5 linked regions of the Tribolium castaneum genome follow. The protein of the gene in region 2 binds, or shares a complex with, the protein of the main gene of each other region. Links are inferred from orthologs where the notes say so. Each region holds a gene or a part of one and is shown on either strand. Other genes may lie near its edges.

The links. The genes of interacting proteins can lie anywhere in the genome.
Region 1: Caf1-55 (region 2) and HDAC1 share a complex: the UniProt entries of both Drosophila melanogaster proteins name them as parts of the DREAM complex. The link is inferred for Tribolium castaneum from reciprocal best matches to the Drosophila melanogaster genes Caf1-55 and HDAC1.
Region 3: Caf1-55 (region 2) and Dp share a complex: the UniProt entries of both Drosophila melanogaster proteins name them as parts of the DREAM complex. The link is inferred for Tribolium castaneum from reciprocal best matches to the Drosophila melanogaster genes Caf1-55 and Dp.
Region 4: Caf1-55 (region 2) and E(z) share a complex: the UniProt entries of both Drosophila melanogaster proteins name them as parts of the polycomb repressive complex. The link is inferred for Tribolium castaneum from reciprocal best matches to the Drosophila melanogaster genes Caf1-55 and E(z).
Region 5: Caf1-55 (region 2) and E(bx) share a complex: the UniProt entries of both Drosophila melanogaster proteins name them as parts of the NURF complex. The link is inferred for Tribolium castaneum from reciprocal best matches to the Drosophila melanogaster genes Caf1-55 and E(bx).

Annotation. Positions count from the first base shown.
Region 1 is NC_087394.1:10,698,258-10,702,250, forward strand, and holds the start of HDAC1 (histone deacetylase HDAC1), read left to right. Parts: upstream 1-1,193; 5' UTR 1,194-1,376; coding exon 1,377-1,425; intron 1,426-1,736; coding exon 1,737-1,849; intron 1,850-1,903; coding exon 1,904-2,345; intron 2,346-3,993. UniProt on the Drosophila melanogaster protein: Catalyzes the deacetylation of lysine residues on the N-terminal part of the core histones (H2A, H2B, H3 and H4).
Region 2 is NC_087399.1:660,670-665,840, forward strand, and holds Caf1-55 (histone-binding protein RBBP4), read right to left. Parts: upstream 3,987-5,171; 5' UTR 3,849-3,986; coding exon 3,827-3,848; intron 3,727-3,826; coding exon 2,608-3,726; intron 2,487-2,607; coding exon 2,344-2,486; 3' UTR 2,167-2,343; downstream 1-2,166. Other genes in the region: hgo (homogentisate 1,2-dioxygenase), read left to right, coding at 491-568, 614-880, 927-1,955; tudor and KH domain-containing protein homolog, read right to left, coding at 4,606-4,910, 4,964-5,171. UniProt on the Drosophila melanogaster protein: Core histone-binding subunit that may target chromatin assembly factors, chromatin remodeling factors and histone deacetylases to their histone substrates in a manner that is regulated by nucleosomal DNA.
Region 3 is NC_087398.1:7,908,206-7,912,276, reverse strand, and holds the start of Dp (transcription factor Dp-1), read right to left. Parts: upstream 2,801-4,071; 5' UTR 2,451-2,800; coding exon 2,402-2,450; exon of another isoform or gene 2,221-2,401; coding exon 2,105-2,220; exon of another isoform or gene 2,086-2,104; intron 238-2,085; exon of another isoform or gene 90-237; intron 1-89. UniProt on the Drosophila melanogaster protein: Component of the DREAM complex, a multiprotein complex that can both act as a transcription activator or repressor depending on the context. In follicle cells, the complex plays a central role in the site-specific DNA replication at the chorion loci.
Region 4 is NC_087394.1:34,717,798-34,721,830, forward strand, and holds the start of E(z) (histone-lysine N-methyltransferase E(z)), read left to right. Parts: upstream 1-1,233; coding exon 1,234-1,486; intron 1,487-1,533; coding exon 1,534-1,960; intron 1,961-3,976; coding exon 3,977-4,033. Other genes in the region: UDP-N-acetylglucosamine transferase subunit ALG14 homolog, read right to left, coding at 1-199, 254-260. UniProt on the Drosophila melanogaster protein: Polycomb group (PcG) protein. Catalytic subunit of the Esc/E(z) complex, which methylates 'Lys-9' and 'Lys-27' of histone H3, leading to transcriptional repression of the affected target gene.
Region 5 is NC_087395.1:15,335,726-15,338,527, forward strand, and holds part of E(bx) (nucleosome-remodeling factor subunit NURF301), read left to right. Parts: coding exon 1-152; intron 153-262; coding exon 263-525; intron 526-887; coding exon 888-1,083; intron 1,084-1,589; coding exon 1,590-1,872; intron 1,873-2,802. UniProt on the Drosophila melanogaster protein: Histone-binding component of NURF (nucleosome remodeling factor), a complex which catalyzes ATP-dependent nucleosome sliding and facilitates transcription of chromatin.

The DNA of each region.
Region 1 (3,993 bases), on a different chromosome or scaffold from region 2:
TGCTTTCTAAAAAGCTAGATTTGTGTTTAAAGCGGTTTCGCTGCTTTAAACTCTCAAATATTATTAATTTTTTTAAATTTATGGGCCGGTTTATAAAAGGCTCTGTTAAAATTGAATTCGTTGTTAAAAGTTAACAACGCGAATGAACCAACCAAATGACTTCAATTTGGTCACGTAATCAGTTAATCACGCATTTTATAACTGATTAAATTAATGACGTTTTTATAAACCGGTCCTATGATTAGTTATGATAATTAAACTAGTTTACAAAAAATTTTTTCTTTTACCAAGAAATAATTTATACTGATTTTGTTTTCTTCTCACTCACTAATAACGTAATAACTAAAATATATCTCACATTTGTCTATCACGTCTTGTTTTTTTAATATATTCACTAAAAGTTTTGAAAATATATTCGTTGTTTCTGTGATAAACTAATAGTTAAACATTGTATTTGCTTTAAAATATCGTCAAGTAAATGTAGATTAAGCCCAAACAACTTTTGTTTTTTTGTGGTAAAATTATCTTAGTAAAACCTGAAAAACTTAAAGGCAAGAAATAAGAATTTCTCAGTTTCGAATGTAAAGGGAAAAATGTTTAGGAATGCAACCCCTTAATTATTTCTAACTAAGTGTAAAGAAGAATTTAGAACTTGCTCTACTGAAAACTGCTAACCAATCTTCATAACATATAATTGTTGTTTTCTTCGATAAATAAGTTTTTTACAGTAGAGGCTTCCTTTTTCATGAGAATTTTTGTATGAAAAGCTGATTTTTGTTCATTAGTTAATGTGGCATTATTAGCGGTGTAGTTAGAAAAAACAGTTCTAAGGAACAAAGTTGTGGTGAATTATCTTCTACGATTCAGGTATTATTTAATTTTCCATTATTCGAACATTGGTAAAAAACCGTCTTCAACGTTTTTGGGACCCCTTCGGTTGAAAATCACAGCTTTCTTGATTAATGAAGGGTCAAGGGACTTTCCCTTCGTTAATCAAGGAAGCTGTGGATATGGTCTTAAGGACTCTTCTAAAGAAAAGAGATGGCGCTACGTAAGGAGAGTTTTTTTAAGTTAGGAGAATCAACTCCAACAATGAAAAAGAAAGCTTTGTTACGGCCTTAATGGTGGCATTACAATGCAAAAACGAAAAGAATCACCCTGTTTATTTTTTAGTAGGGAAATTCAACTTTACACTAAATCGCCACCGGTGCTAGGTTGGCGTCCTTGCTGCGGGAACAACGGTGCCATTTGCAAAGCGGCGTGTTGTGCTACCGCCGTAATTCTAATAATTTAAACAAATTGTTACAAAGTGAACAGTGATTTGTAATAATTAAAGCCAAAGTAATTAAAAACAATTTAGTTTTCTACAGTACAAGATGGCCACACAACCTCACAGTCGGAAACGTGTTTGTTACTATTACGACAGTAAGTAGCCACCAATTTCAGCCAAACATGAATTATTCCACCATTTTGGGGCGTTTGTTTTTGAAATTTGCCAACAAAATGCATGCGTTTGCTTAATTTTGTGTCGTATCGTGCTATCATGTAAATACGATTTTCGAAACCGTAAGCCTGGAAATTCACGGTAGACTACGGTCGCGGTATTTTTGCTCGGTGCTGATTGGTTAGCTTGGTTTATGATGAGATGATGACGCTTTTTTGTACGGTGTTACGATGGCGAATGTTATTAGTCCATCGTGAATTTTGATTCAATTCTGATAATTTTGAATTGTTAGGCGATATTGGGAATTACTATTATGGGCAAGGACACCCCATGAAGCCCCACCGCATAAGGATGACCCATAATTTGCTGCTCAATTATGGTCTGTACAGAAAAATGGAGATTTATGTGAGTATTTAATTTCCATGAATTGTTGGTGTTATTTAGTTTTGACTTTCCCAGCGCCCCCATAAAGCCACTGCCGAAGAAATGACCAAGTTTCACTCGGATGACTACATTCGATTTCTCAGATCCATCCGACCTGACAACATGTCTGAGTACAACAAACAAATGCAGAGGTTTAATGTAGGGGAGGACTGTCCTGTCTTTGACGGTTTGTACGAATTCTGCCAACTCTCAGCTGGGGGCTCAGTGGCGGCAGCTGTTAAATTGAACAAGCAAGCGTCCGAAATTTGCATCAATTGGGGCGGGGGTTTGCATCACGCGAAAAAATCCGAAGCTTCGGGCTTTTGCTACGTAAATGATATTGTTCTGGGGATTTTGGAGCTGTTGAAGTACCACCAACGCGTGTTGTACATCGATATTGACGTGCACCACGGTGACGGTGTCGAAGAGGCTTTTTACACCACTGACCGGGTGATGACAGTCTCGTTCCACAAATACGGTGAGTATTCTAAAAATAAGACAAAGGGGCGAAACGAGATACAAAATAACTCGATGTTTTTACCAAAAATTTAGTCCCCCAGAGCATCAGTGCTCCATAGCATCGTTTTGGTTTCATTTAAATTAATTTAAACTCAACCGGTTCACTATTTGTCTGAGAAAAATGTGCTGTTCTAGGGGAAAAACATTATTGAAATGTTTTTAAAACGTTGCAAATACGGTTAGTAAAATACAAAGAGGTGTATAAGTATTAAAGCAAACTGTTCGAAACATTTTTTATATGTCGAGAATTACTTAAATATTTTGTTGTAAAATTTTCTTCTAATACGGTCAGAAGTTTCCAACAAAGGATGAAAATTGTATTACTCTGAATAATTCAGCTAACTTAAAGTCGTTTTATAGATGAAAAGCATTTTTTTAAGAAATCTCATCGAATAAAGGCAAAGAATGTGTTTGCTTTTTTTAATACCTACTTAAACACATTTCTAAGGTAAAAATTCACTTTTCTTGCTTAGTTTTATATTACTTTTGCCTTTGTTTTTGTCAAAAAAAAAAAACAAAAATGAAGATCGGAAATGATTTTATTTTGGCTTTTTTGTTCTTGTTTTGAGTGATTTTCTTTGTTTTTTTTTTCACAATTGCTTTAATAACTCGGTAATTTTCTGAAATTTATATATTCTTTGGACATTTTTAGTTCTAGTTTTATTTATTAGTTTCAATCAATTTAACATTTTGCTTAAATAGGTTTAAAAAGGATTATCAGTGGACATCGAATATCCATTTTTGCCTTTCTTCAGCATTTTGATTAAAAACATACCTATTTCTCATAAATTGGTTACAACAGGACCAAAAATCATTAGTAATCTAAGCGAGAAACTCACTGTGAAATGACCACTTTTGTATGACTTCGTTAAACACTCCGAACATTTTCTTTATTATGATTTCGTTGTTTGTATGATTTCGTTAAACACTTTGAACAATTTCTTTATTACGTAGAAAATTACGGTATTTTTATTATTAAACAAGTAAGTATTAAACAAGTGTAAGATGATTTTACTTTTTTCGTAAAACTGCATTAAAACGCCAAAAATAATTTAATTACGTTTGAAATACCGGATTTTTATTTTAAATATGCAAAACTTTGTCAGAAGACCAATGAATGATCTTGATAGTTGTCGTTCCTTTCGGTGGGCTTACGGTGACTTGTTAAAACAAGATGAGAAATTATTTGATACGTCGGAAATGACGTGAATTTTGAGCGAAAGGTCGAAAATAATGTGAATTATTTTGATCAGTTTTTCTAGAATTGGGTCGTTTTTTTTTTGTAAAATTTGAAGTACAAATGCCGAACATATCACATAATTATTATTTTACCTATAATTAGGTATATATTATTTTTGCTTTTAAGCACACTTCTCACTTTTCTGTTGAAATTTCGCTCAAATAGAGCAAGTGATTATCAATAAAGTTATCGAATATTACGTCACTTTGATTTTTTTCCACTTACTCATAGTAATTCGCATTAATTCGCTAGAATAACAGGCCAAAAAAATCACAAATGAAGGTAGGGAATGACATTACTTTGGTCTTTTTCGCCATACATATTTATGTGGGAAACTAAGATTTGTTGCAATTTTGTCAATAAATGA
Region 2 (5,171 bases):
ACTGTTTTGTTAAATTATTATCAAATTCGAGGAGTACTGAGGTTTGGTAGGTTTGCCCTATTCGCGACCAAAATTATTATACATAAACTACAAGGTAGGTATGCATGTCCTAGTTATATACTCAGTGTTTTTAATTAAAAAAGTGCAGTTTCTTTCTTTATATTTGTGTAAAAACGTTCAGTCCGTTTTTTCTATACATTGTGTGATATTGTGTACAGGGTGTTTGCCCCCTGTGTATGAAATTACCTGAATTCAACAAACAAAACTGCGTTCGGCTATGGCTATAATCTCGTTCATTTAATAACATTAATTGTGTTTAAGACTGTACATTTGGTTTTCTGTGAAGTAAAAATTATTTCTAACCGGCTCTTTCATTGTCACCCCATCTCGTAACCTTTTCTCACCTAATTAATATTAATATTCCTCTCGAAAACTGCTCAATCATTATGTTTGTTGGGATATTTTATAAACAAGTTAAATCATTTACATAATGATATTTTATGCTGATACGAGCGAAAGAAGAATTCAGTTTTTATCCAGCTGTTATCACACCATGTCCACACTCAAGGTAAGCCACAGCCACATCTTGTAACCACTTGTAATCCCAGTGTAGTATTTGAGCGGTTTCGGGTCCGAATTTTCCTCGGAAGACCCCAGATGCCCCAACTCACTCCCGAAAGGGCAAAACAGCCCACAAAAGTGCCCATATGGGTTGTACGCCGAGCAATTGTCCGGGAGCGCCTTTACGGCACCCAGATGCGAAAACAGGAGGAGTTGGTTGTATAGAATCCGACCATCGGTGGGACACAAGCCCTTTTCGCCCTTTCCAGGGGTCAATGTTACGCACAACTGGACGGAAACAGAGCCCGACCCTAATCAGGTAAAAACCGCCACAAAAATTAAATTTATTAATTGGCGACCACCAGATGCGATGGAATCCCTTCGACTTGCCCAAACCCGGCGAAAACGTTGATTTTGTCTCCGGTTTGAACACCGTCGCAGGGGCCGGGGACCCCAAAACCAAACAAGGCCTAGCTATTCACATTTATTCCGCTAATAAATCAATGAAAGACCGCTGTTTGTACAACTCGGACGGCGATTTTTTAATAGTCCCCCAAACCGGGATTTTGAAAATCACGACCGAGTTTGGGAAAATGCAAGTGGCGCCGAACGAAATCTGCGTCATCCAGCAAGGGATGCGATTTTCGGTCGAAATTGAGGAACCGTCCCGTGGTTACATTTTGGAGGTGTTCGGGCAACACTTCACTCTCCCCGATTTGGGCCCAATTGGGGCGAATGGTTTGGCCAACCCCCGCGATTTTCTCACTCCTGTGGCATGTTACGAGGATCGTAATGTCGCAAAATACGAAGTCGTGGCCAAATACCAGGGCAAATTGTTTGTGTGTGAACAAGACCACAGCCCGTTTGACGTGGTGGCCTGGCACGGTAATTACGTGCCGTATAAGTACGACCTTGCCCGCTTTAATGTCATCAATTCGGTGTCTTTCGACCACTGTGACCCCTCGATTTTCACCGTCCTGACGTGTCAGTCTGAGAAAAAGGGCACGGCAATTGCCGATTTCGTGATTTTCCCGCCGCGTTGGTCCGTTCAGGAACATACGTTCAGGCCGCCTTACTACCACAGGAATTGCATGTCCGAGTTTATGGGGCTTATTTTCGGGGAGTATGAGGCGAAGAGAGGGAGTTTTAGGCCAGGAGGGGCCACTTTGCACAGTATTATGACTCCGCACGGGCCCGATTTTAATTGTTTTGAGGCGGCAAGTGTCGAGGTTTTGAAGCCGGCCAGAGTGGCTGATGGGACCCAGGCCTTCATGTTTGAGAGTTGTTTGGGGTTGGCTGTCACCAAGTGGGGGGCTAAGACGTGCCAGAAGCTGGACCCGGAGTACTACCAGTGCTGGCAAGGGCTCAAGAGCCACTTTACCGGCCCGAAATGAGATTTTTCAATAAATTACTACGTTTACAATTCGTGTTTTTGTAAATAAGCCTTTTTAATCCTGATTTATAAATCAGGAATTGAAGATAATTTTTTATGCAATTTCTATTCGACCTGTGTCATAAAATTTTTTTAATGAAACTTGGCGGAAATGTTGACTGTTAGCGGGTAATAAATGATTAAAATTCGAACGATTGTAAATAAAACAAGTGTTCTGGACAAAGTATTTATTTATTTGTAAAAAATGTTTAAAATATTGTGGATAACATAATGTTTCAGTTTGATAAACACAAATGGTCACACTTTCACTTAATTACTTCAGTAAAGGAAACGAGAACGTGGTATGCTTACAGGTAACACTAAAACTAAACATAAATAAAAAAACTAGACTAATTCGCTGGAGTTTCCATATCGGCCTGTTGCTCGGGCTCCTCATCGTTATAAATATTCTCGGCCATTTGCCACACTTGCATAATATTATCCTCAGACACGGAACAAATAACCCACGGTTCGTTGGGATTCCAACTAAAATCTAAGGAAAAAAAATTAAACGCTAATTACACTTTGATAAAAATTACGAAAACGTTAAGTAAATACGACTAAAGATTATTTACACAAAAAAAAAAAAATATCAAAAAAGATTATTAATTTACCTGAAATTTTGGCCGTGTGGCCCCCATGTATGAAGAGGAGCTCCGGAGGCCCATCCTCTGCATCCTCCGGACTTTGCTCCTCTCCGATTTTGCTCAAATCCCAGACATGCAGCCTGCGATCGGTCCCCGACGACGCCAGAATAGTCTCATTATGGGGGCTCCACTGCACTTGGAAAATCTCATCCTTGTGCGACTCAAAACTGTGCAATTTCAACTTAAGATTCCTCAAATCCCACAAAGCTACAGTCTTATCAGCGCTCCCAGTTGCAAGAATAAACTCCGAATAGGGGTTGAAACTGAGACAGTTAACCTCAGCAGTGTGTGCATCGACAGTGTGCGACGGTTTGCTCGTATTGTTACACCTAGTGTCCCAAATCATCAATTTCTGGTCGTCTGCGACCGAACCGAAGAGACTTTCGTGCAGAAGGTGCCAGGCGACGTCCTCCACCACGGCAGTGTGCCCCGTAAAAATGGTCTTCGCGTCTATAATTCGGTTCTCTTTCGGGGTCGCGTTAATGTCCCAGAGACAGATCGTGTGGTCATCGCTGGCCGAGAGCAAATAGCCGTTCAAGTTGGGGTTCCAGGACAGCCCGTAGCCCTCCTTCTGGTGCCCCCGGAGTCTCAGGTCCGGGTGGCACTCCCCGTTGGGGTCAGGCTTGCTGGGGTGCTTCGTATAGTCGAACACTAGCACGTCGCTTGAGGGGGTTTTTGTGGCTATAACGCACGGGTTCTGGGGCATGTAGCGAGCCCTGTTCACCTCTCCTTCGTGGTTGATTTTAATTTCAATCTCAATTTTCCCCGAAACTGAGCCAAAACCGCCAAACTCGCCCTTTTCGTTATCATAGTGCGAGGCATCGAACTGAGCGTCTTCGTTCGGGAGCTGGACGCTGGCGATCAGGAGGTGGTTTTGCTCGTCGGAGGTGTGAGTGCCGAGGATTAGGCGGTGGATGGAGTGGTCTTTGCCCTCGGGGCGCGTTACATCGGGCAGCCACTGGGCGGTTAAAGAGGGCCACTCGAGGGCATGTGTCATTACAAGGTCGTACAAAAAAGGGGTGTTTTTTTTCCAGATCTTGTACTCTTCGTTGATGACTCGCTCCTCGACCGCGTCGTCGAAGGTTTCTGTGTAAGATTTTTTGTGCAGTTGACCGGGTTTTAAGGTTACGTTCGCAAAGTTACAAAAAAAGCGTGATTTTGGCGAGGCAAACTAGAAAATACTTACCGGAGTCTCCCTTATCCCCCATTGTTACAACGAACACAAACGAATAATGTTAAAATTGATAAATTCAAGTAAAAATGAATGAGCCGTCCACTAAATATGACGCTAGCCCGCCAATTTGGAACAGTGGTGCCACAACGCCACAAGTCAGCAGATTCAAATTAAGCAAACCGTGGCCAAAATTTTGGCGGTGGTACGTTTTGATTTAGCTAACTCGATGCTTCATAGTCATGGTATTCCAATGTTTTATTAAAAAAATAGAAGGAAAAAATATATAATTGAGAGCCAACGTGGCAACAGGGAGTAAAAATTATGCGACTGAAAGCGATGAGCACGATTGTGTGTTGAACCGAAAACTTTAAAATTCACAATTGAATTAATTTTCAGTGATTTTTTTTAATATAACTTATAATCAGGTTGTAGAAAAAATAGAGTATGCAGCTTGAGTCTGGTTCACTAATTTTTCAGCTCAAGTTAACACTTTAGGATTTATTAAATAATGCACGTTTACTTACAGAGGTGGAGGTTAAAAAAAAACTCAGGTAACTTAAGAGGGTTTATTCAACGAAATATAAATGGAATCTCGGGCAAGATCACAATATTGAAGATAATCATTAAGGCACAAACTTTCAAAATTTAAAAAAGGGTTACTCAATATTAAAAAAATAATTAATTGCACCTAAAACGTAAAAATAAATAAAAATAAGAGCAATGTAAAAATGAATTAAGTAACTTGAGGAACAGGGCGATAAAAATTTATTTCGAAAAATTTGGGTAAAAAACTACGAACTCGAAGCTACACTAATATTACTAACACTCGTGGCGCGACTGCTCGGCCTCAAATCCACGTCTCTTTTAAAAACAGCGAACCCTTGATTAACCAATTCTTGTGCGATATCGACGTCCTTTTCACCGTTCACATCGAACAAATCAACACCGGGGACCGGAGAGCCCTCGCGCTTCGCCCTCGTCTTCTCCCTAACACAATATCCGTTAATTTTCGCCGACAGTTTCTTCCACTGCGCCACATGTGTCCACTCTTCGAATTTATCCACGGCTTCCACCGACCAACTCTCTCCCACGGGATCTAAAAACCCACTTACCCACCAAACGCCCAAAAAAATAAATAAATAATCGTACCAACTCGTGCTAGAAAACACTCAATTGCTTGAAAATGCAGTCGGAGGAAATCGGTCCTCAACTCGTACAATTCCTCAACGGGGACCAAATCCGTGTCCCCGTAATCAACATAGTAGAGTTCAGCTTGGGGCGGGTTATCGTCACTCAGACTGAGCACTTCAGCCCGGTACCATTTGCTGTCGTATTGGAACACAGCAGCGACAAGATC
Region 3 (4,071 bases), on a different chromosome or scaffold from region 2:
TGTAAAAGCTTGAAAGCAATCAAGAAAATATTGCCAGTCTATCCACGAAAATACTTATTTACACTTTATGCGTTCGGCTTAAAAACAGACATGAACACTGTTATCTAGGGTTTTTTATACCTAGGAAAACCTTATCTGTTATCAAAGTCGTAAATTTATTGCTACCGAATTAGGATGAAAGGTGCAACAATGATCTTACTTAAAATAGCATATAAACAAGCGTAAATGTAAAAAAAAGTAAGTCCAAAGTTAAATTATATCCACTACCATCTAAATTATGTAAAAAATCCATACAGTAATCATTTACGTAAAAACACTAGAAACTGATGCAATGTGAAAACCTAATCGCACGAATGAATTCAACTAACCACCGGTTAAAAATATCTCGATATAATTTTTAAGCCTGTTTCGTTTATCGACGATAATGTATAAAAGTTGAGGTTGTTAAAAGTTATAAAGCTTGAAACTTTGAAACCGTTGCGTGCCTTCGTGGATGATGTATCGCAAAGATTAAGGACTGTAGTAACGCAAAAAGCCGTTATTTCGCAGTATGAAAGAACCTTTTGCCCTTTAACAAAAGGAATTAATTTTACGCGTTAAAGCAACTGAAGTCATAACGCGTTTTTACATCCAAGAATGGGCCAAAAAAGTTGTCACAAACAGGATTCCCAATTCAAGCAGAAATAACAAACACGACAGTAACTCCTGAAGCTTTTTATGTAAATAAATAATCAAACACGTGTGCCCCAAACATGGTCTTGGATTGTAATGTCCCAGCGATTTTGATTGGGAAAAATCGTGATCGCAGACTGGCAGTGTCTCAACTCAGGTTCAAGGATACCTCAACAGGTTAATGGGAAGATCAGATTTATGATAGGTATTATCTGCCATGTCGCACTAGTTCCATTAGGAATTTTATTGACGGGATATCAAAGAACAAACGTTTGTTAAGAACGTAGCAATCAATAGCGATGCTAATCTGATAGCGACAGATATGTATATTTTATGGGGCCACTATTAATTAAAAATTAATGCAATTGCCGATAGCCACGGTCAAGATAATTAGAAGTAGACGTTTTTTGTCCTGTGACTAGAATCATAATTATCTCCGCTGTTTTAATGAGCTCGTCTTCAATAAAGCAATTTGAATAATCATTATCGATAATAAAGTGAAACGTACTAAAAAACGGAAAAGTAGTTTTTAAGAACTCTTAAGTTATACATAAAATAAACTGGATGTGGAAAATGCGCAGACGCGTGGTAAATATTGAGCAAAACTTGAAAAACCATTCATCTTCAAAATAGCCGGGCGCGGTGGACAGTGGACACACTGTATAGTACAGTAACACTTCGTTAATCCGAAGGTGATTCGGACTACAAAAAAATTCGGATTACCAGTAGCAACATAGTAATTATGTTTACAATCAGAAGAAACGTGGAAGCTTTAGTAAGCACACAAGTATAAAAATAGTTAGTAGTGGAAATTAATAACTCCCTTGAAATAATAATGATGTAGATTAATCCAATTACAGGGACAGGACAAGAAAGTGTTTAAATCGACTAGTTTTGTTACTGGCGTTGATAACACTCGATAATTTATCTAATAATTATGATTTTTGTGTTAATCTAAAAACCTATTCGGACGAGAAAAGCTTCGGACTATTGAGATATTGCTGTACCTATTAAGAGAAAAAGGGGTGACTGAAGGTGGGGTCTGAGAACCGGTTTCCGACAAAACAATCTAAAATATTTAACTTACAAGAGGTAAAAAGCTCGGTTTTTCTTCAATGACGCAACCTTATGAGTTTAACTGCTTTTGTGATCCAATAAAATTCACGAAACCATTACAAATGCGTGGCGATACTGATCTACCTCCACACAAACACGCGATAATTATGGTCAAGATAAATTAGAAACAAAAACAGAAGTAGTCGAAAATAGGCAAAGACATGCAAGAAAGATGAAAGAGATGAATGAATTGTGCAATTACCCCGAGATAAAAATTCGATCAATCGTTCGAAAACTTAGGAATAGATGTAAACAAATCCGTCTTATCTTTAACGAACTACAAACAAATTAATTTAGGGGGGAACGAGTGGAATACCTGGAGCGGTTCCTGGCTGTTCGGCGATTTGAAAATCTTCATGGGCTGCCCTGCCACCGAGGTCACAATGCCACTTATGGGCTTTCCACTGGGCTGGACCACCTTAATCATCTGCCCTGTTACAGAAAAAACGAATAAAACACGTGCACTGAACCCGCTTTTCCTCCCACATCGAGGCGGTTTCCCCCGAAACTCGGTCCTTTCCCGCCCAGCCCCCCAACCGGCAACTGTTTGCCCCCGCACCACTTCGTTGTGGGCCCCCGTTTTGGAAAAACCCCCGAACCCTTTAAAAATTACCATTGGCTCCCTGGATCACCCAGTTGGTTGTGCTGTTCTGCTGGGTCATTTTCCCTCTCGTGCGAAACACTCACTCGCCGCCCCTTTAGCACATTTCCTCAAAAACGGGACACTGTCGAAAAAGCACCGGTTTTTAAATCCGAGCTCCTCTCCATCCAACTCCAACAAAAATGGCGACTGTAACTAGGCGATATTTTGGAATTGAAATAGGCGGACCCCGCGCACCACGAATTCGGTTTAAACAACTCGCGAAGTTTCCTCGAATATCGCAATTTGCTAATTTCGCGCTTTTTAACTGCTTGCTTGCGATACAACACTTGGGGGTGTTTTTGAAGATGAGCTATTTCGTGCAAGGAAAGCCACTACCAGCTTGGCGGCGGGTACAAAGGCATCGCTCCCATTGGCTGGATTCCTTCACGTGGGACACGCTGCTCCTAGTTCGGGCAAGCGGCACGAGGGAGCGATGCGTTCGAAATATTTTGGCGCCTTTTTGCCTTGCGGCCCCCGCACGGGGCGCACGAGGCCCTGACACCGGGCAAATGCCCCGGAAAAAACACCCAGGGATGCAGTTTCAATAATACGCGGCTGTCAGGAAAGGTGCACCCACCGAACAGGCCATCGACAGAAACGTGCAAGACAGAACCTTAAATTATTAGAAAGGCAGTATTCGCTAGGTGTCGCTACTGCAAAAATACTATTTTGCACTATAATGACGAAATAGTCAGTAAATACGGTAAACACAAATGTAAAAGAATAATTATAAAATACTATTTATTACCTGTTTCGAAACCATAAAAATGCCAACATCACATTTTCTCTCAAAATTTGTTGTAATGGGTCAATTCACGACGGTATGCGTGTGGATATGGTAAATGTAATGTAGTTTTTCGACCTGTTATCTTCTTATAGATCTTAATACTAATTGTTCATACTCTTCTGACTGAATTTTTAGTCATCATAGCATGAATAGCAAAGGAAAGAAGCTCATACCCACACGCAAACCGTTATGAATTGACCCCATCAATATTTTGTAATTTTTGTTTTTATTTTTTAAAGCAAAAACCAAAAAAATACACGTTTTTAAGTAGAATATTTTTTTGGGGATTTTTTTTTTAAATCCAAATCTGTCATTGCCTTTTTCAAGACGTTCTTGATGTTAGAGTTACGACACTCAACTTTAGCCATATTTGATACTTGCATTTTTTAAAAGTTTTTTTATTTCTGCTAACAATTCGATGTATCACATAATGATCAGCAATTTTCGTAAAAATGCTTTTTCTCCATTTTGATCAGCATGTAATATTTGATCATATTTTGTGATACATCGTTGAAATCAGAAATAAAAACGACAAACGGACACCCTGTATTTATAAATATGTTTATTGCTGATTGTTTTTTACAGCCGTAAAACTATTTTTTTGTATTCTTATATTGCATATGAAATATAGATTTGTCGAACATGTAACATATAAAGAACAGTTTATTGAAAAGCTAAAGCGGCTTCAGAGGAATAAAAGTGCCGAATCAATTTTAGTAGAAACGAAAATTTAAACATTTTAAAACAACAATGAAAATTGTTGCTAAATACAAAAATTATGTAAAAATAAATACATTTCTGAAAATGAAAATGTGTCCTGGGTGTCGATTCTAAACCAATACTTCGACTCGAA
Region 4 (4,033 bases), on a different chromosome or scaffold from region 2:
GCAAAGTCTAGGCTTGCCATAAGGGTTAGCATTTCAGTGGTGTGCCCCCCTGAACCAATGCAGATGACTGTCCTGCAGGGGGTTACTCTTTTACTGGACGCTTCGCGACTAAAACCAGTCGTTATCTTGTGGACTAGGTACAAAATCCTGGCCAGGATTAAAACGGCGATTAAAATCGCCAATTCAATTTTTAACTGATCTGAAAATTTAAAATTCGATTATAACTGTAAAACACGTTTGATTTTTCGGTTACCTTCCATGTCTCCAGGCTAGCTTCCTGCGATGGTTTCTGAAAAATGGAAAGTTATTGAAACATCAATTAAATAAGAGGACGACATAAAAATCCACAAAAAATCATCACAAAAGTCCCCAAATATATACCAAAATTTGAAAGCCATAAATTACAAAAAATAGCTTTAAAAAACTGCTGTCATAAGACCTTGAGGCAGTCGTTATTTATTCGTGCCTCAAAACTTATGAAAGTGCTTTTTAATATACAGTCGGTACCCTTTATTTTATTTTTTTTCAAATGTAGGTGATTTTTTTATCATTTCTCTTCAATTCCTTTTAATTAAAATATTGAAAATGATTTCAAAACCAACAAAAATAGTATCTGGAGATTCTAATGGCATTCTAAAGGATACGGTGTTTAAATGATGTTCTTTCCAGACAATATAATACTTTAAGAAAATTGTTAATAACCGAAAAAACATTTATTTGTTGTGTAGCTCACATAATAGTAATTAATTAGATACTATAACTTTTTCTCCAGCATCACACTGTACGAATATTTCATGATTTTACTCATAAATGGCAAAGCAAATTCAAATTAAGGTATTCTTAAACCATCACAAAGTCCAAAAATTGAGAATTTTTGAAAATTGAAAAATCAGGTGATCCTTGGCGATTGTTGAGTAGTGTAAATTATTACAATTAAAACACAATAAACCTATCATTTTTATCTTATTTGACTTCACTATCACCTATTACCTAAAATTATGACATCCTGTGGATTGGGCACATCCCTGGGGGGCCGGGGGTTGGGACCTGGGGCACGGCGTTCGCAGGGTTAGATTATCGGCAGAGCATCGGCGCACGCGCCAGTCGATGGTGCCTGTGCTTAGAGGTTATATTTTTGGTTTTTTCTGTGTTTATAGAACTCCTTCCGTTCCAAAATGAATTGACCCTTCCCTCAGTTCGCATTCATTGTTTTCTTTCTTAATTGGCGTGAAAATGTCGAAAGTGAAAGTGAGTAACGAATGGAAGCGTCACGTGAAGCAAGAATACATCCGTTTGAGACAACAAAAGAGGTTCAAAAGAGCGGACGACGTGAAACTAGCATGGAACCAGAACCGGATCAAAATGACCGAAAACCTGATCGCCGAGCAGAAGCGCTGGACTGAGAGCAAAGCCTTCTGGGTGCCCCTGCCCGAGATCCCCTCGCATGTGACTTGCATGAAAAAGGCGGAAGTTATCGGGAATGAAGGTTGTTTGATCCCAGTTGTTGTCTCCAAGATGCTATGTTAGTTTCAGGCGATATACAGGTCACCCCCATTCGGATTATCAACGCGGTGACTCCCATCCCGACCATGTACACGTGGGCCCCCATCCAGCAGAACTTCATGGTGGAGGACGAAACTGTCCTGCATAACATTCCATACATGGGCGATGATTTACTGGACCAGGACGGGACGTTTATCGAAGAACTTATCAAAAATTACGATGGGAAAGTGCACGGGGACCGGGAGTCGGGATTTATCGATGATGAGCTTTTTGTGGAGCTGGTGCACGCGTTGATGCAATACCAGGACAGCGACAAAGGGGAGAAAAAAGACAAGGACAAGGAAAAGACCAAAGAAGAGGAAAAGAAAAAGGGGCTCGATTTTCCAGCTTTTATTATATTCCAAGCGATTTCGTCGCAGTTTCCCGATAAGGGGGACCCAGAGGAGTTGAGGGAAAAGTACGATGTTTTATTATATTTTTTACAGGCTTTTCCAGCGAGTTGGTAATATTCATTTTACATTATACGTGTATATAATTTCACAGCGTGAAGTTTTAATTTTGAAACTCGAGCTTTAACGAAACTGGACGCTGTATAATATCTAACGCACAAACAATTTGGTCATTTTTCGATCAATTCACATTTCGAGCAGAAAAAAAAGTGTTTACTTTTTAATCTTCTCACAGCATTAATGAGTTCATTTATCATAAAATATTGTTCTGAGGTCTCTGAAAAATTTTCATGTTATTTTACCGCACTGTATGCTTGAACAAAATAAATAAAAAAGTGTAAAGAAGTCCAACAAAAAAATTTTGAATAACACTCATACGAAAACGCTTAAAGTTAAAGTATTTAGGTAAGTAACTCGCATCTGCTCGTTGCATAACGACAGCTACTCTTGTGTTTTCGCACTCATATTATTAATAACTTATATTAAATAATGTCAAAATAATTGTCCAGACAGTAGGCTATGTTTATCGGTAAGCTACGATACAAATATGCTTTTTTTTAATGAAACACTCGGCTTTTGGCATTTGGAAGTAACGTTTAATATTAATGTTTTTAAGGGTAAACTTTTATTGTTGTGCTTGTTTTTTTGACGAAAACACATTTAACAAAATAATTATATCAAATCCAAGAATACGATTAAAAAAAATCAGTTGAGTCAGATTAGAGGAGAAAGAAAAAAACTTTGATGTTTTGACATTTTTTTGAAAAGTTCCAGTCAAGAAGTTTTTTATTTTTTACTTTTGCATGTTAAAGTTTTTTAAGTTCCCTTTAAAACCACAATCATTTAAGTGCGTCTTAATAATTACAAAGAAGATATAACTTTAAACAAAAAATTGTATTATTAATTTGTAAAATAGTTAAATTGAACTACAACCGCAAAGAAAAAGGGCAAGAGGAGTCTAACTTTTTTTTAGAAGAACCAAAGGATTATGTAATAGAATAATTTATTTGACTGTTTCGAGAAATGTCTTGAAAAATACATGTTTTTTACCGTTTTTCTTTAAAACATTAAAATGTTACTTAAGTTTTCTCTGAAATAAAGTCGAATTGTCAATAATAATTGTCAACGTTTGAAAATTAACTATAATTTTTTTCGAAGCTCTAATCTATGCACGAACACAAATTTACAAATAGTTTACGCTTATTTCAGTACACAATATCATAGCCTAGTTTTTTGTTAATTTAAATAAATTCAAATTTAAACGATTTAATTATAAAATAAAAAAATAAAAGGTAACAGATAAACGGAGTGTTAAACGTCCTTTGAATGCTTTATCCCTGGTTGAAAAAATAACTGATGGAGAACTTATAATGAAACGATTGTTACACAACGTTTCGTCCACTATACCACATACATCATCAGGCTAGAAATAATACATTTGTATAAAAAATGGAAAAAAAATATTGTGCGACCTTCTTTGCGTGTGTTGAATCTACTATCTTTTTTAAATTCCATAATGTCATTTTTTTCCATTTGATGATGTCTGTGGTATAATAGACGCAACGTTGTGTAACAATCATTGTTTCATTAAAGTTTTCCACCAGTTATTTTTTCAATCTACATTTGAAATTTTGTTTTTAGAAAAACACAAAATAACACACAAATAACAAACGTTTTCACTTTTTTATGTTCTTAATTGCAGTGCGTTAACGAACTACTACAGTTTTAAACTTGAAAATTTCCCTTTGCAGTGGTGGAAACTGTGGCACTCTTAGTTTTTGTGTATTTCATTAAAAAAATTGTTTCCGTCAAATAAAATAACTACTGTAAAATAGCAGAATCAACAAAAAAAATCAACAAAATCATCAGTACTTATTGATAACTACGTTAAAAATACAATAAAATATAGGGTGATTAATACTTTTACACTTGAAAATAATTTGATTTATTACTTTTTTTATGGTACTTTACCAACTTCGCTGGGTGGGACCCTGATTATTTTTTCCCTAACTTGCCTGGTTTAGGTACATTGAACTGACCGAACGGACCGACCCCAACGCGCCCCCTGAATGCACCCCAAA
Region 5 (2,802 bases), on a different chromosome or scaffold from region 2:
ACCGCCCGGAACTGTTATCAAATGTGTAACAGCACAGGTGATACAAACTGACTACGGGCCGAGGATAGTTTTGCAGGGGTTGCAAGGGGCCGATTTTACGGCCCAGCAGTTGGCAGCAGTGCAGCAGCAAGTCAAGCAACAACTGCTAAAGGGTGAGTCATTTTACTGTTAATATAGTGCTAAGAAATTTTGACTCAAGTTGTAAATTATTTACAACTTATTTTCTCTGGAGCTTGTGTTAGTTTTCGTGATGTTTGTTTAGCGCAAGCTTCAACCGGGAAGCAGGGTGTTTTGGGACCGACTAAGATCTATCTTGCCGTGCAGCCGAGCAATTCCGAAGGACAATCCGAGGGTGTTTCGAGTCAACCGCCTCCGCTAGCTCCCGTCCAGCAGTCTGTCGTACAGTCGGCGGCGACTCCAGCCAAAGGACAACAATCGAACATCGTCAAACAGACTGTTTCAACAGTACAGCAGGTATGCAACGTAACCCCCAAGCCCAAGGTGATAGTGCAACCTGCTAATCAGGTACTTTTGACTTGAGATCAATTTTAACCAACCTTGTTGTCGCATGGTCTGGCCTTTGATTGATGTTTTATTAATATGTAAGTGCGTCTTTGTTTTACTCTTTCGTCTACATTTTTTCGACGGTGCTTTTGCATGTGTTAATTTAAGAAGAGATTAAAGTGTGAGAAGCATGTAACTTATTCTTGTTTTTGTGGTGGGTGTGAGGCGGCTTTGTTCATGGCTTCACATCATTTGTTTGTACTAACACGTGTTGGAATAAAAGACTGATGATGAAACAGCTTTTTGTTTACTTTATGGTCCTACAAAAGTATAGTGCACGGTCGGTGGAAATTTTTCTCACTAAGTCTTGACAATCCTTCCAGACGAACGAAAATGTGACAACTTCGGGTCGTCAAGTGCTTGTCAATGGGCAGCAGTCGCAAACTTCTGCTCTGCTTCAAGCCATGAAAGCGAATATGGAGTCTAATCAGAGTGTCACAACGTCGCCACAGCAGCAACAAACCGCTTCTAGTGATCAGAATAAGCAGTTTGTCGTCACGCCTGACTATATACAACAAAGTATGTTGCTATATCAACCATCTGTAATTGTGTACAATCCTAATTGTACCACTTACCCATTGCAAAACGACTTCGTCAATCGGTTTTAATTAACTTAAACAATCGAACAGTATTTAGAAGAGCAAGGGTTCCTACTCGATCAAAAGTTTCCCTATTGTGCGTATTTTATTTCTGTGATATTTTCGTGTTTTTGTTCCCTAAAAAAGACTGATTTTTATACATTTGTTCGTTTTCGCTTATTTCATGTGACGTTACCGGAAACTTTTGAGGTAAATAAATTATTATAATCTAGTTGCAACAATTTCCATGCGATGATGTAAGCTGTACCTAAATGTATCCGAAAAATTGTGTAATAAAACTGTTACAAAAAGCGACCAGGAGTTTCCTTGCCAAAAACCTTGCACTTCTTTATTTTCAAGTCGTTTTGCTTTGGGTCTCCTAGTTATTACCAGAACTTCCCTCTTTTATTTTGTATTTTTCATATTTTTTTGTCTGAATTTATGCAGCTATTAAAACTGCACTTAAACAAGAAAACCTTAATCCCGAGATCGAAGAGAAACTGTTGCAACTCCAACGATATCAAGAGAAACAAATGAAGCAAGAACCGGACATTCCCACGCCAGTAGCCAAAGTTAACACTCCATTACCGGTCAGTAACACGCGCTTTAACGTTTCGCGCAAACGGACCCCGAGTGCCAGCAGAAACGACGACAGCGACTGGGTCATGGAGACGCCGAAGCGCTCGAGGCCCAACAGAAACAGCGAAATTAAAAAAATTGACGATATACAGTAAGTACAATTTAATTAGTAAACGAATCAATTACTCAAGCAACAGCAACTAAGTATTAAAAAAATGCAGTAACAACGGAATATGTAAAACAGAAAACCGATCGGTTTTGCCGTGTTTGGTAAATTGTTTTAATTTTAGAGTCTTATTCTGCCTCAAAATGTTACAGTTTGGATTAAAACGGCTTATTTCGGACGATTCTTTGCTTCGAAACGCGGAAACTTTTATAAAACAGATTGAGAACGTCTTATACTGTCTCAAAACAACGATTTATCGTACAGTTTAACTAAAAACGGCTTATTTTGGACGATTCTTTGCTTAGAAATTGGTTAACTTTTATATAACAAACAGAACACGTTTCAATCTGTCTCAAAAGAACTATGTTATAGTTTGCATGAAAACGGCTTGTTTTAGACGTTTTTTTGCTTCGAAACGAGAAAACTGTTATTAAACAGACTAAACACGCTCTATATTCTGGCTCAAAAGAACGAATTAAGTTACAGTTTGGATGAAAACGGCTTATTTTGGGCAATTATTTGCTTGAAAACGAGTAAACTTTGATAAAAGAGAAGGAAACCGTCATATTTTGGCTGTAAATCTTGAACTAATAACCACAAAAATTTGCGTTTGCTAAAGATGCTTTATTTTTTCGACAATTTTTTGTAATAAATATTAATGAATTGAAAATACTAATATTCATAAAACAATAAACATTAATTATATTAACCGAAATTTTGAGGTTTCTCTGTCATGCGTGTGGTCATTCTTAAATGTTTTGTTTAAAAAATACGTAAAAAAAGTAGAAACGTAGCATTAGCGCTTTGTTAAAAAATAATAAGAATTTTTTTAGTTTCTTGGTCGTATCATAACAGTGCATCATTCTTCTACACGTTTCTTACAATATTATCAATATTTAAGATTTTAATAAAAAA